Linked DNA regions of Oreochromis niloticus. The protein of the gene in region 1 interacts with the protein of each later gene in a pairwise test. Links are inferred from orthologs where the notes say so. Each region holds a gene or a part of one and is shown in the gene's direction. Other genes may lie near its edges.

The links. The genes of interacting proteins can lie anywhere in the genome.
Region 2: the proteins of tepsin (region 1) and ap4b1 interact in binary tests that used the Homo sapiens proteins (3 or more experiments, as listed by UniProt). The link is inferred for Oreochromis niloticus from reciprocal best matches to the Homo sapiens genes TEPSIN and AP4B1.

The regions. Positions count from the first base shown.
Region 1 is NC_031973.2:20,314,271-20,321,442, reverse strand, and holds the start of tepsin (AP-4 complex accessory subunit Tepsin), read left to right. Parts: upstream 1-3,822; 5' UTR 3,823-3,954; coding exon 3,955-3,993; intron 3,994-4,234; exon of another isoform or gene 4,235-4,289; coding exon 4,290-4,362; intron 4,363-4,632; coding exon 4,633-4,724; intron 4,725-4,832; coding exon 4,833-4,926; intron 4,927-5,019; coding exon 5,020-5,087; intron 5,088-5,192; coding exon 5,193-5,274; intron 5,275-5,624; coding exon 5,625-5,696; intron 5,697-5,773; coding exon 5,774-5,965; intron 5,966-6,094; coding exon 6,095-6,278; intron 6,279-6,723; coding exon 6,724-6,837; intron 6,838-7,163; coding exon 7,164-7,172. Other genes in the region: slc38a10 (putative sodium-coupled neutral amino acid transporter 10), read left to right, coding at 144-284, 398-1,668; ndufaf8 (NADH dehydrogenase [ubiquinone] 1 alpha subcomplex assembly factor 8), read right to left, coding at 2,807-2,827, 2,918-3,028, 3,450-3,530. UniProt on the Homo sapiens protein: Associates with the adapter-like complex 4 (AP-4) and may therefore play a role in vesicular trafficking of proteins at the trans-Golgi network.
Region 2 is NC_031984.2:33,205,816-33,213,660, forward strand, and holds the start of ap4b1 (AP-4 complex subunit beta-1), read left to right. Parts: upstream 1-4,673; 5' UTR 4,674-4,908; coding exon 4,909-5,081; intron 5,082-7,830; coding exon 7,831-7,845.

The DNA.
Region 1 (7,172 bases):
GATTATTAACTGTTTCCTGTCTGCCCCCCTCACCCCCAGAGTCTGGCCCTAGTTTTATTAAGCCTCCTAACTAATGCCCTGTTCTCTGAGCAGGTCGTTACTTATTTTAATTAAATGTTTTTGTATGGTTTGTTTCCATGTAGAGGGTCAGCTGGACCACGCGGTGCTTCTGCAGGTCATTAAGGAGCAACAAGAACAACAGAAAAGGCTTCTGGACCAACAGGAAAAACTATTGGCTGTCATAGAAGAACAACACAAGGAAATCCACCAGAAACAACCTGCTGGTGTGTGTATATACCCATTTTTTTTCTTTTTGTAGTCATGACAACTTGTAAAGAAAACACAGCTATTATAGGTGGTGGCCCTCAACTTAAATGTGATATTTTTGCATTTAAAGGGGGCGCTGCTGAAGGCGATGGTGAGAAAGTCATCCAAGGACAACCAGAGATGATGGAAGGTGGAGCAGCAAAACCTAAGGAGTCTGGACTGGAGCAGTCCAAGGAGGGAGCTGGAGCTCCACAGGATGGCGGAAATGAGGCTCATGCTCTGGCCCAGGGTCAAGCTCAGGTTGAAGATAAAGGTGCTGAAGCTAACCCTGCAAAAGTAGCCGTACCAGCAGCTTACAAAGAGGATGCAAATGTTGCACTCGCAGGAGAATCACATAAGGAAAGTGAGGTTGGGGCGAGGGGAGTGCCATTGGGAAAGCAAAAACTTGAACCTGTGGCTCAGAATGACCATGCAGCCCAGTTACAAGAAGAAGAGGCAATTGAAAAACTTAAGAAAGAAGTGGTAGGCAAAGAAGATCAAGGAAAAGAACAGCTGGAGAGGGAAATAAAGGAAAAGCTCGCCAGAGAAGAGGAGTTGGAGAGGGAAAGATCAGAGAGAGAAAGGATAGAGAAAGAAGTTCAGGCAAGATTAGAAAAAGAACGGCTAGAAATGGAGAGAAAAGAAAAGGAAAGGTTGGAGAAAGAAAGGATAGAAAAGGAAAGACAGGAAATGGTGGCCAAACAAGAGTTGGAGAGGGAGAAGATAGAGAAAGAAGTTCGAGAAAGGCTGGTAAAAGAACGACTGGAAAGGGAAATAAAAGAGAATCTGATCAGAGAGCAAGAGCTTGAGAAAGAAAAAGCATTAAAAGAGAAACTTGCACGCGACAAAGCTGCAAAAGAGCGATACGAGCAAGAGCTGCAGAAAGCGGACAATGAAATACTTGAGAAAGCAAAGAAAGAGGCGGCATTGCAGGAGGCTCAGGAGAGGCTGCTTCAGCTGCAGCAGGCCATAGAAGCTCAAAATGCTGGAAAAGCTGCACAGGGGGGCGAGAGAGTTGATGGTGAGGCTTTGAAGAAAGGAGGACGAGACCTCAAAGAGAACGCTGCTGCTCAGCCAGAACCCGGAGAAGGGGAGGAAGATGGCGAGGTTCACCCCCAGGGCTCCCACGAGAAGGTTAGGAAGCAGGGAGAGATAGATCTGAAGCGGAGGCGTAGGTCACTCGGAGAGGCTAGAGGGCCCCTGGAGGACACTGAGGCGTCCAGGGGGGTTCCAGGGTTGGAGCCCCTGCTGGAGCTGGGGGGGCCAGATCTGCACGCAGCCCTTGAGGGGCAGCTACTGGCTGGGGCAAGGGTACACACACGGCAGATTAAACAGGCCTCAGAGGATGAAGAAGCTAAATAACACACACACATTCTTATTTAGCGGTCAAACACATACTGTAGACCTGCAGAACCTCCTAATACTGTGGACCGTGATATCGCTGCCTTATATTCTCTTTTGCCTTCAGAGTTGTTAAGAAGTGGACCGTGTTGTTTTTCTTGATACTGTGTAATCTGCCAGGAACCCAAAGTCTTTATCAAAGCAAAAGTGTATGTAAATATTAACTTATTTTTGTTTCCAGAGAAAATTTTGAAAAGGTCAAACGGTTTAAAAAGGTTTAACGTGTATATACATCTATGCAATTACCTTTCTGTGGAGCGTTTTTGACAGGAACGATATTCGTATTTGAGTCACATGTACTCCTTTGGTCATTCAGTTGTTCCTTGGTCTTTGTAAATGTTGTAAATGCTTTTAAATGTGATCCATGTATTTTCTTATAGAACCCGGTTACCCCAAATTTAATGTACTGTGGCTTCAGGCCCCTTGATAGTGTTTTTGCTTCATGCTTTCAAAATGAGGTATTTAACTACACGCTGGAGTTTTGAGATATAGAGTAGCCTTACTATTTCCATAAACTGTGGACAACAGAGCAGCTCAAACCAGACAACCTGGATCAATACCTGTAGTTTCTAATCATTCCATCTTTATTCCTAGTATTTCTTCCAGGTTGATTTATTAGTGCCTTCCACTTAACATACTACAGCCTATATTTTATTCAAACAAAATGTGCAGTTTTTCCCCTCAATATCTGGTCTTTTTCTTCCACTAAATGATCTTATTTGAAGATATAATAATGGAAGGTATTTTGGACTTCTGTATTGTCTTTCATTGGCTAGCACTTCAACACATTGGACCTTTGCTTTATAAAAGAGGCTATTTTTGTGACTATTTTTCTACATGCATGTTATTTCTGTACATTTTGCTGATAAAAATTAATAAAGCTCATATATCGAAACATCAAAGTCAGGGTTTTATTTATTTATTTATTTATTTATTTATTTATTTACACACAGACACACACAGGTTTTCACGTTAAAGACTATGGCAGTTCTTAATGGCTTATCTCAACCACACCGACATGAAAAACTGTTCCCAGCATCAAAAGTCAGTCAACTCGGTCTTCTTGAGATTGGTCCAGATAAGCCTGGATGAATTCCATTCATCTGGCTCTTTTTTTGGCCTGTAATAAAAAACAAATATATAAATAGGTAAATGGATAGCATTAAACAGATCTCCTTTCAGTGTGACAGTTGCTGACACTGGCACTTACTGCATTGGTAAAGCAGATCTTCAGTGCTTCAAACTCTTTGGCACACAGATCCTTCCTCAGCTCCTGTGTGCCTGTTGTGGTAGCAGCTACACACTTTCCATACACTGCTGCCTGAATAACACAAATTAAAACTTCACAGGAAGCACATTTGTCCATGTAATAAATAACTGCATTACTTTAATTATTTGGACCAATGTTTTATTAACAAATTTCCACTGTTTTGTTTATTAAGAACTGGCACATTAACTTTATTGCCAACAATTCACCAGAAGCTAAACCATGCTCTAATATGTTAATTAGTAACCTACATCCTGAGATAATAAAGTGCACGGCAGCACGTGTATATTGTTAAAAGCTTAAATGAGGAAATATTTTGGATGTCCCCTACTGGGAGCTGCTGTAGAGATGGCAGCTGGCTTTGATGGGAGAGGCAGATAAGTATAATCATATTTAATGAGAAGAAGAGAGGTTCCAGAGTTGAACCCGTTCAAAGGATAATCTACCAAGCAGTATTTTCCCATCCTGTACTTACCTCGTTCGCACACTGTGCAAAAAGTTCCGGGAAAAGTCTCATTTTCTCCCTAGTGCGACTCCAGACATTTGACCCAGACATGCTGCTGCTCAGGCGTAAATAGATTTGTTTTAATATCTGGTAAATTTTTTTAAGTCAACGATTAAAAAAAGAAGCAGCAATATTTTCGTGTCAAGTTCTTAAAATCTCTGACAACTCAAAAGAACCGAAATTATTTTTATATCAACTAACAGACGGCGCTCCGGTGAAAACCCTGTGCAGCGCCATGTTGACGACTGTCTACGCCCATAAAAATCCTGAACTATGATTCGTTCATTTCCTTGTCAGTCAAACCGTTTCTGACGGTTGATTTGTTATCTTTTACCTCCTGGTTTAACCAGAACGCCAATAGAGTCGAGGATTGCTGCTTAGTGTTTTGTTATTGGCTAGCGGTCACCTCAAACCCCGCCTTTCTGTCGTACGCCTCGAAGGAAGATGAGTAACCCGCAGCTGGGACTGCTAAATCATGGCAACATTTATGGAACGATTAGCCTTTCTTCAGAAAGTAAGTAATATCGACAGTCGTTATTTTTAAAAAAAGAACACAGAGAAGCCAAAACGAACATGTTAAATGTCACGTAGCGTTGACGTACTTATTTAAATCTATTAGCTTTTGCGAAACCATAGCTTTCTTTTAGCCTGCTAGCTAACAACCTTAACCAACATCTTTTGGCTTTTTACTTTCTGTGTTTCACTGGACGTGTCAGGTTGTTTCGTTAAAACTTAATGCTGCACACTGGTTTAAGGGTCAGTTTGCGGTCAACTGAAGTGGTAAACCACAATTTCGTCTAACTATCCAAGGTGCCCACCCTGATGAAGGCTACAGCAGATGATGAAAACCCCTGTCCTGGCTACCTTTTCCAGGAGATTGGAAGTATCCTTTAGTTGCTTCTGCTGTTGATCTGCAAAAAGTTCCTACTCCTGCTGGCCTCTTTTGCATGTTAGGGCTGTATAAGTAGGCTGTGGCCATGACTTTACATAGTCACTGATGGATACATACCTTGAACATGGCTATGATAGGTTAAAATGATATTTTTCTGTGTGTGAAGTGTGTTATCAGTCAAATGTTTATACCCACTGAACCATGGGAATAGTAATTCCTGTATGATGAAGTGTTATAACCTTAATTCTAAGCACACTGTAGAAATCTCCCATGAGTCTTCAGGTTGTGGTCAGTGTTTGTTGGAATACCTCCTGGAGAGGCTACAAGTGGAGTCCTGTCATGTCAAACTGAAGGTGAGAGAATTGCTTTTGCTACTGTTTCTGTCTCTTTAAAGGACCTGTACATTGCTGATTGCAGTTTATGAGTAAGTGTGGGTTCTGTTCTTGCTTCTGGTGTATCAGGTGCTGAAGATCTTTGTCCACCTCTGTGGTCATGGGTCCAACCATTTCCTCACAGAACTCAGAAGGAACTCCACCTTCATCCAGCAAGCATCCGGTTAGACTTTTCTCATTTGTGCTTTCAACTTTCATTATTTTGCTGCTGGCATCGTTCATAAATATTCACTTTGGGTAATTTTTATTCGATAAGTTTACAGCGGCCCTCCTGATCCCATCCATGGCACAGCATTATATGAGAAAGTGAGGAATACAGCACAGGTACAACACGGGTTGTTTTGTATTTTCATCTCAATATAGTCAGTTATACAGAAATGGAAGGTAGCTTGAATAAGAACTTTTTTTTCGTTGTTCATCCATTTACAGGAAGTGGCCCGCTTACTTTTCACAGATGTCATTCCCTCCAAAAACAGCATTTCTTCACTTAATCTTGCCCCACCGACAATGGGTAAGTGCTAACACACATTGATTATGACCATAAACGGCACTCATCTTTAAAAGATGGGCAGGCGGCCGGGCGACGTGGACACCCAAGTTTGTGAAAGTGATAACTCAAAAACGAATTAGAAAGTATAATTTTCCTAATCAAAGATATAAGCTTTAAAGACTTAGGAACCCAAATATATGTACTACATCCTGTATGCCAAACTATTGTACATCACTTTGCTACCAGGTTTGACTTTAGCTCCATGTAATAAACAAGTAATAGAAGAGAATGGGTATCTGTAGATGGGATGAAAGAAGTAGTCATTGAATTGCATTGTGTGTACAATAGTTAATTTGTTTCATTCTATTTAGGTATGGGATCGGCCACTTCCCACAGATCAGGAATGCAGGGTTTTGGATACAGTCCAAGAAAGCAGGGGACAGGTGAGGGAAGCAGAGCTGCACAGTACATACAAATCAAACTTACTGCGTGTGTAAATTTCTGGACCTGTGCCTTCCAGCAGGCAGCGACTCACTTCTGGATAAGATTCAGAAAGCAGCTGAGGTGGTGGCGAGCGCTGTCCTTCCCCCTACTGAGCATCAGGGGATCCGTCTCCATGACAACCATTACCGGGCCGTGGTGGCGCCTTCTGCACCCATAGAAGTGGCCGTGCCAGCGTGTGCCTATAATCTGCCTGCTTGTAGACCGAAAGGTCAGAAATGAAGCTGGCACAATTACGCATTTTATTGAGGCAAGATTGAGAGAAAGTATAAACTGAAGCCTTAGTAGCGAACAGATGTTTATAAATTAAGGTTTTCCTCATGTGTCTTCACTTCACCAGTGACTAAGTGGTGCCCTGGGCAGGTAGGAGGTGGCTGGGAAGAGACGGACAGTGGCAACAGCTCCTCTCACAACTCCTCTCAGGACATCGCTGCCAATAGCAGGGCGTCGGTGGGCAGCAAGTCAGCTGGCACAGGAAGCCAATCAGGGACCAGCAGAGAGAGCAGTGGGGACCTATCAGATCGGTCAGTGTCAAAAACGTTTAACCTTTTTAACACATCATGCACTCGAGTCTTTTTTTTTCTTTTTAATGCATTAGCTGAGAGCAGGTACTGGATTTTAAACAGACTTTACCCAATGCCTGTACAGTGACAGTGCATATCTCCTGTTGTGTGACACACAAGAAAAGGAAACCTCAGAAAATTGTTCATGTTTGAAGATGGTTTTAGTTTGTTAAACCAACTGTTTTCATTCCAGTGCAGTCACATTCAGGAGCTTGTAGCATAATCTCCAAATGTTCTGTGTGCAGTTTGTGTAGTTTAATGTTTACTGGTCACTTAAGAATAAAATTCTTGCCAGGATTGTTAGTTTTTCTATGCAATAAGTCATGTTCCTGAGCATTATAAGCACAAAAAACCTGTGTTTTCTTCAAGTTTGTTACTTTCCTCTCATACTTTGTGTGGTTTCCAGGGTGGAGGCCTTGCAGCTAGGGGATTGTGGTCAGGAGATGGCACTCATCAATAAACTGACTGAAGGCTCCAAAGTTTTCCTTTCCAGAGAGGAGAGCCAACACTTCATCAAAGAGTCAGTGCACCAAAATCGCATTGAAAACACAACAGCCTGGGCTGGTTCTTTTCTATGAGCTGGTTTCTCATTTTTAATTAGTTTTTTATTAAACTTCTGATTGTATTCAGTTGCCTTTTTTTAATATTATTAATTGAGCTTTTTCATTTTATTACACACACATATATATATATATATATATATATATATATATATATATATATATATATATATATATATATATATAGTATTTTTTTTTATTGGTTGTTTTGGTTTCTGTGATGCAGTTGGGAATTGTGTCACAATTTCAGTGTTTTTTTTCTTCTTCTTTTTTTAAACTCTGTCAGGTGCTCCAT
Region 2 (7,845 bases), on another chromosome or scaffold:
CTTTCATAACAAGAGTGACGGTGTTCACTCAAATACTGGTTGTGTTTGAGCAGCTGTGAAATATGGGGGACCACACAAGTCAACTCTGTGTTGTGGGAAGCCCTGCATTCTTATCTCTTACAGCTGCAATATTCTGGGTGTGACTAACTTTTATTGTTCATCAGCAATAAAATTCTGATGAACAATAAAAGTTCTGCTAGTGCCTCGTTAGCAGAGATGCCTGTGAAGACAAAGAAACAAAGAGCAACTTTTCATAATGCAAAACGCATTATGAAAAGTTATGATTCACAAAATGCAAAGATTTACATGTTTTACGTTTACGTTTTATTTTCCAGGCCTGATGGGGCTGTACCAGGTGACGTTTTGGTGCTGACTAAACCTTTGGGCACTCGGGTGGCTGTAAACGCTTATCTGTGGATTGATCAGGTTAGCCATTCAACTCTGTTCACAGAAATATTAAGTGCAATGTTGCCACAGGAAACCAATTGAGTTTCCTTGTCTGCATGTTTGGGATCATTGTCTTGCTGAAACATCACCCTCGTTTCATCGTCATCATCCTGGTAGATGGCAGCAGACTTTTATCACGAATGTCTCAGTACATTTTTCCATTCATCCTTCCTTCAGTGTTATATGAAGCGTGCTAGCGCCGTATGCTGTAAACAGCGCCACACTATGATATTAATTGGCACTAAGTGGCGGAATTGCTGTCTAGTTACTGGTAGATTTCAGCTGGTATCAGGAGTTCCCATGCCCTTTTGTACCTCCCTTTCATCACATGTTCAGTACCCTGTGTCATTTCTAATTTTTACATATAACCTAGTTTATGGACATCTATGGTTTGATTTCTTTGCTTGTGTGAATTGGATGGGTGGTTGACAATATCTGGTGAGAATTGCATGTCGATACATTTGAAAAAATGTTTACAAGAAAGACAATACTTATTGGTTACTTACTGGTCACATGAGCTAAAATTGCTCCAGTGCTTTAATGAAACGCCCAAGACTGCTGACAGTGTTCGTGTCCATGTAACAAGAAAATGTTTTGTTTGCTGACAGTTCTCCTTCCTGAAAAGGTTCACAGCTGCCGTGTGTGGGTTATTGTGCATGTAGAAATGTATAGAAGCACTGGATTGCTCATGAAACAACCAACCTGGGCTTTGAAGATTAATGTTCTTGTTGCTGTTTTTGTTTTACCAGCCTGAAAAGTGGAACAAGATCAAGCTGGTCGTCACCAAAGAGGAAGTTATAGAGGCCTATCAGGAAGCTATGTTTTCCATGGCAACCCTTAACCGCACAGGTACACTACTTTGATTAAGCTCTGCAGTCATTAGTGGTCATGCAAGTGTATTATTAGTTAACTATTTAATTAAATAATGTTTAAATTACAGTTGGCAGACTTTATATCAGCTGTTATTGATTAATTTATTTTCCCTTTTCTTTCTTGTGGTTTTACTCTGGCTCATTCACATTTTGCCTCCAGCGGCAGGTCTAATGCACAAGTACCAGGCCCACGCTGCCACAGACGTGACTGGTTTCGGCTTGTTGGGTCACGCCAACAACCTGGCAAGACAGCAGCAAAACGAGGTGGCCTTCGTTATCCATAACCTTCCAATCATAGCCAAGATGGCTGCCATCAGTAAAGCCTGCGGAAACCTGTTTAACCTGCTTCAGGGCACTTCAGCTGAGACTTCCGGTATGACCGGTGACATTAAACGTGGTTATATTTGAATAAATGCAGTATTTAAAGCTAGGAACTCACATCCCTTCTCCCCCCTCTTCTCCAGGTGGGCTGCTGGTGTGTCTGCCCAGAGAGCAGGCAGCCAAGTTCTGTTCAGAGATGAAAAACCTCAGCTCTGGAGCAGGGGGTCAGGGGGCGGTGGGCGGGGCATGGATTATTGGTATCGTGGAGAAAGGCGACCGCCATGCTCGCATCATTGACAAACCCCGCATTATTGAGGTTCCACCCCGAGGAAGCCAGGCAGCAAATCAGGAAAACAGCTCCACCAGCCCTGACCCAAGCCCCAATGTGTCATAGACACTGTCACCCTCTGATACTGTTCTGGTGTGTGTGTGTGCGAGAGAGAATGAGTGTGTCTATGTGTGTATTAATTGTTGTTCATCCCATCTACCTTTTCTGTCAAAAAGTTGACAGTGCACAGAAGAAACCCAGTGTCATGTGATCCACTGAGAGAGGAAATGGACCACAGGCAGCATCCATCTCCAGCTTTAGAAGAAGCTGCGAAAACATGGTGTACTTCTCATGTTTCATGTTGTAACTTCAGGGCACAATGCTGTACTGCCTCTCTCACCATTATTTTTCCCTGTTGCCTTTCATATAGAAAACTTGTTTTATATGATTTATCAAAATCATAAACAGCTTCTGGAAAATTAGTTTCAGTTCTATAAAAAGGAAAAATACTGAATCATACTTGCCCAAAGTAGCAAATAATGAGATGTGTGTGTGTGTGTGTGTGTGTGTGTGTGTGTGTGTGTGTGTGTGTTATGGTTGGATTCGGGTGATTTATTTTAGGATGGATGGCTAACATTAAATGTGTTAATTTGGTGACGGTTTAATGTGGAAAAGAAATGATGTGTCACTCCTGGAACCTGGCACTGCCCACACCATCCAGAGGAAGGTTTGAGCAGCTTCCTTTGGGACCCGTTGGGCTGTGTTCAGATTGTCCACCTGGATTGACAGTCGACTGACCGCCCAAGCACAAAGTCCGCCCTTCCTTGTTAATGAAGCTCTGTCTTTCAAAACCCAACCAGCAGGGCCGGGCAGAGTGGATGTTTGTCTCTGGATCAGGGATTGGACTTTCAGTGCTGGAGGTCTAGTGCTGTCTGTGTTTGTAGATCTTTTGCTTTTCACAATCAAATAAACCCATCATCAATTTAGACCAAAGTGCTGTTTGGGTCTTATGCAACTGTAGTGTAAGGCACATTTTCATTTTTACACAAAGTTCACTGAAAAGTGCTAAGAATAACATTTTAAGGGGTTTGGGGCAGTCTGAAGCCTGATCTTTTGCCTCACAGGGATTAGTACATACAATGAGTTCATTATTTGAACCTTCGGTCATGTTTAATACAAGCATACACCAGTCATGTCAGGACTGTACTGCCATGTTGTTAGCATCAGTCATCCTGCTTGCTAGTATATTTGTAACATTAAGCTGCTCAGACAGCTGCTCCATCACTGGTGTTGACTTGGACATTCAGACATTGTCCAAGCTCACAAATGTTCCTCTCAAATAATATTCATTTCTAGATTAATAGCTACTCCAGCATTTTGAGATTAAGACCGTTGACCCATTTTACTTTGGGGGACTGACACACACACGTTCACTGTTTGTTTTGGTTTCTTCAGTCAAGATCATGCTAAATGGGGCATGTGCCTCATTTAGCATGATCTTGTTGTGGAAGACAAAAAAAAATCCACTGAGACCTACCTGGAGTAAATAGAGTAGTATTGATCTACTGGGTGGATCAATATATGCAAAAGCACTGCTAACGGTTTTTCAGTTAAATTCTGGATTTTGTCATCTTCAAATGGCTACGTGTGCAGAATGTTATGGCGGCATACGGCCTGATTTACACTGGGTTACCAAAGTGATCTGTGTAAAGATAGCTGATCCCTGTGTGTTTGCATGTAAACCTGATGCTGTCTGAGGGATTTCCATGGAAATCAGTGAGTCCCTCCCCGGACAACACAAGAATAAGTACACAGGAGTAGGTTGAATTTTGGTTAATTTTAAATCACCTTATTTGTGCCACCATTTTTGATCCTGCATAAACATCAGTGCAGGATAAAACGAAGATGAAATGTTCTGGACGGAAGAGATGCATCACATGTTTTCTGTAATTTCAACCAAATCAATTTGAAGCAAAATGTAACAATATTGAGTCAAAATCATATTGTTTTCCCCATTTTTTCCATAACCAACTTTGAGCATCAGCATCATGGGATATATCAGTTTCAATAGGAAAACTTCTACAATTTAATGTTTAATGTAAAGGAACTGAACTCTTGCTGCTACTCTCCTAGCTTCTGACTTTCCACGTATGCATATGGACCAACATCCATGTGCATGATTAAAAAAATTATTTTCTTTTGATTATAGCAGTCTTGTCATAATTATTTGAGTTTATTCTTATGTTATATAAAGTCTCATTATCGGCCAAGAGTAGAAAAGGACTGTATGGTCCCAGACATCCAGGCTGGTGTTGTCGCCTCTTGGCCAGGACTCCCTTGAAAAAGAGGTTCTTAATCTCAATGGGACTTTTCCTGGTTAAATAAAGGTTATATATATATCCAGGGACCTGAAAGATCATTTAGTTTAATAGTTGGTTGTTGGGTCTACAAATTTGATCTTTTTTGCTGTATGTATTTACTTTTCTGTTTTAAGCAACACTATGCTCAAAGAAAGAATGTAACAAGGGTCACTGAAAGTCAACAGTTTCTTGGGTGCCTGCAGTGGGTTAATCCAGCTCTGCTCTGGGCAGTTAAATCTATAAGACTGTACCCTATGTCGGTCTGCACACGACTAACAACCACTGTCAGATGGAGTAATTGGAGTAAAGTGCAACATTTTCCACCGAAATATAAACAAAGTATCAGATCTGGGCGAGTATTGCCTTTGTCGTGCTATACTCACGCCAGCCAGCAGAGAGCAGCGTGGGATTAAACCGAGAAAAACAACGATGAAGAAGAAATGCGGACGTGTAGAGGGAGTAAATATTCTAGTCATTTTTGTTGTGTTGTTACGGATGAACTTCGTCCTTCGAAGTGCTAAACGGTAATGCTCTTAAAATTAGCAAGTTCGTGTGTTGCTGGGTCATATAAAAGGTTTGCGTTTTATCTCATCGGCTGAACGCTGGGTCACCGGCTGTGTTGTCAAACCACCAACCAGAGATGCAGTTGGACCTGCTTGTTACTGACAAGCAGAATTATATTTTCTGTCTCTTAGCCACCATGCCTTATCTGGGTGGGGAGGAGACGGTCAGGGAGCTGAGAAGAGCTCTGTCCAACCCTAACGTCCAGTCAGACCCGCTGCGGTACAGGAACACCATCCTCAAAGTGATCAGGTACTCATCTCATCCCTGTGCTCAGCCACCAGGCGCTGCGGTTTGTCTGCAAGGCCGCATTCATCTGTCAAAGGGGGCCCGGGGCACACATTTGCTTTTGAGAACCTGCTTACCACCCCACCCCATCCCCCATGCAATTTAAGTTAATTGTCACTGTAAAAGCAGGTGTTAGCTAGCAGCTAACTGGAAATACGAAAGAGTGACATAATTTTTATGGGAAATTACAATAAAGCTTTGTTGGTTCTGAAGATGACTGCTATTGTTGTAGATTTACGTGCATATGTGTGCATAAGGAAATCAGCTTCATTGTAAATGTGCAGATTCCACGTTTATGAGAGATAAGAGTTTGGCAGTCTTTTATTAGACATTGACTTCTATTCAGTATTCTATTCAGAGGTTATTTATTAAAATCAGAGGTAATGCTGTGTGCTTACCTGGTGGAGAGCAGGTTGCTCATCTTTGAAACTTTCCACACATAAGGAGACATACTCAGAAGATGCTGGTTCTCTTCGGATCTAGCTTGATATGTGAACAGACATTCTCAGTAATGAAGTTTAACAAATCGAGATACAGTCCCTGCACACTTGTCTCAGTACATTCTTCCAACTGCTGACGAGTCATAAGCATCTAACTGTGAATAAAAAGAAAATGAGATAATCGCAGTGAAAATGGTTGCAAATTGTTGTCAGCGTTGTTAACATTTTGATTATTTATTGTGGAAGCTCAAATTGATGAAATTCATTTTACACCCAATTGAACAGTTCCACATGTGGCTCGACTCACTATGATTCATTTTTGTGTGTTTTTTAAAGTCTCTCTCTTTGCTGTGTCTTTGAAGGAAAGAGAGCTGAAGTGTTGAAACAACAGAAAAAACAGTGAGCTGCTTAATTTAACATCCAAGATGTGCCATCGCAGAGATTAGCTGCCTACACCCACTTTTAATCGGGTTGTGTTAACAGATGCGTTAAAACTGTATTCAGTTTGTGAAACACTGGTGTAGACTACATATTACAGACAATGTGGCAAGTTAGGTAACATTAAACAAACACATAAAACTTACTAGTTATCTAGTTCTAGTTATTCAAATACAATTTGAGGATCATGAAAAATACGTTTCCCCCGAGAAACATCAAAATGGAAGGCTGTCAGGAGATGGACCCAGGAAAACACGGCTCTTTTTTACATTGGCTTCATTGTTAAGACCCAAAGTTCCATTCGCCTTTTATATGAACAATGTTGGAAAGGAAAGTGAACATATAAGGATTAAACAGCTCCTAGGTCCTAATCGTACCCCTCAGTAGTAACATTCTGTTGTTTTGACTAATACTCCCCTTTGTTTCAATGGCTTAAGACCAGCAAGGACTAGTGACATCTCACTAACATCACTGCTGACTGGGGGCTTATCATCCTGTTTTCACTATGAAGCAGTAGATTATTTGAAGGAAAGACGTAAGCTGAAGGTTTAAAGTGAACTTATTTTTTTCCAGTAATGAATGTTGATATTAAACACTGGGCAACATTAAAAAGAAAATTAAGTCACTATATGAAGATATACAGTACTGTGCAAAGTCTTGAGCCACCCCTCGTTTCTTTATATTTTGCTTTCAGGACCCAGACTTTCTTGTATGTTTTTTTTTTTTAAACAATATTTCACAAGGTTTTTTTAAAGTGTTTCTTTAGACCTCAACTTCTTCTTTACTCATTTCCAGTCCAGTCCTTGTACCTGACTGTTTTCAGAGGGGTGTTTGTTGTTTGTTTTATACACTTATCACTAACTTATGAATGAAGCATTAAAGCATAAAAAGATGCCTAACTCAAGGGATTGTGTCTACACATAACAGACAACTTAGCAAAGACCTAATTTGTGTTTTGTATTCTTTGTATTATTTAGGCTCTTTGTTACTAGCAGCTTTGCAAAAATACATAATTTGGTCCAATTTCTTCTGTTAAATTTACAGAAATGCCAACAGTAATTCAGTTTGAAAGACATGAAATAGTATTTTTGCTCTAATGAGGTTAAAACTATTAGCCTAAAACTATCTCAAAATGATGTGCAGGCTGCCCCTAAAGAAACTGAGGACAAAAGAAGAAGTGGCAGGCTTAAGAAACACTGTCTACAGCAGTTGAATGGTGTCTGAAAACATGGTGGAGGCTCTGGTGGTTTGGGGCTGGATTTCAGCCGGTGTGTTGGGGAGCATGACAGAACAAGAACTGATGAAGACAGAAAAGTACTGTCAGATTTGATCTACTGTGCAAAAGCATCTGATTGTCAGTGGATCTGTTTGTCAGCACGGCAATGATTCCAAACAGAGTACCAATGCAGTAAAAACAAACCTAAAGAGAAAAACCCACAATGGTGCTCTTGCCTCCCTAGAGCCCAGACCTGAATATTATTGAAGCAGTGGGGGATCATCTTGGTAGAGAACAGAACAAAAGGCAACCAGCTTCCAAAGAAGAGCTTTGGATCTCTTTCAAGAAGCCTGCAGAAATATTCTTCTCTGCAGTCACACGTTCTTTTAAATATCTGGGCACTGACAAAGTTTTGTTAGTAAGAAGAATATTTTTGTTAAACGTCATGTTAAAATGTTTTCCTGTGTCCTATCATTTCCATGTGTCTCTTTCCCCATTATTCCTTTTCCTCTAATCTTTCTTTCTCTATTTCAACTCTGACTGTCCCCTCTTTATTCATTCCCGCTTTTGTCTTTCTTCTTGTTTATATGTCCCCCTTCTACTTCCCCTTCCATTTCAGGACCATGTCACAAGG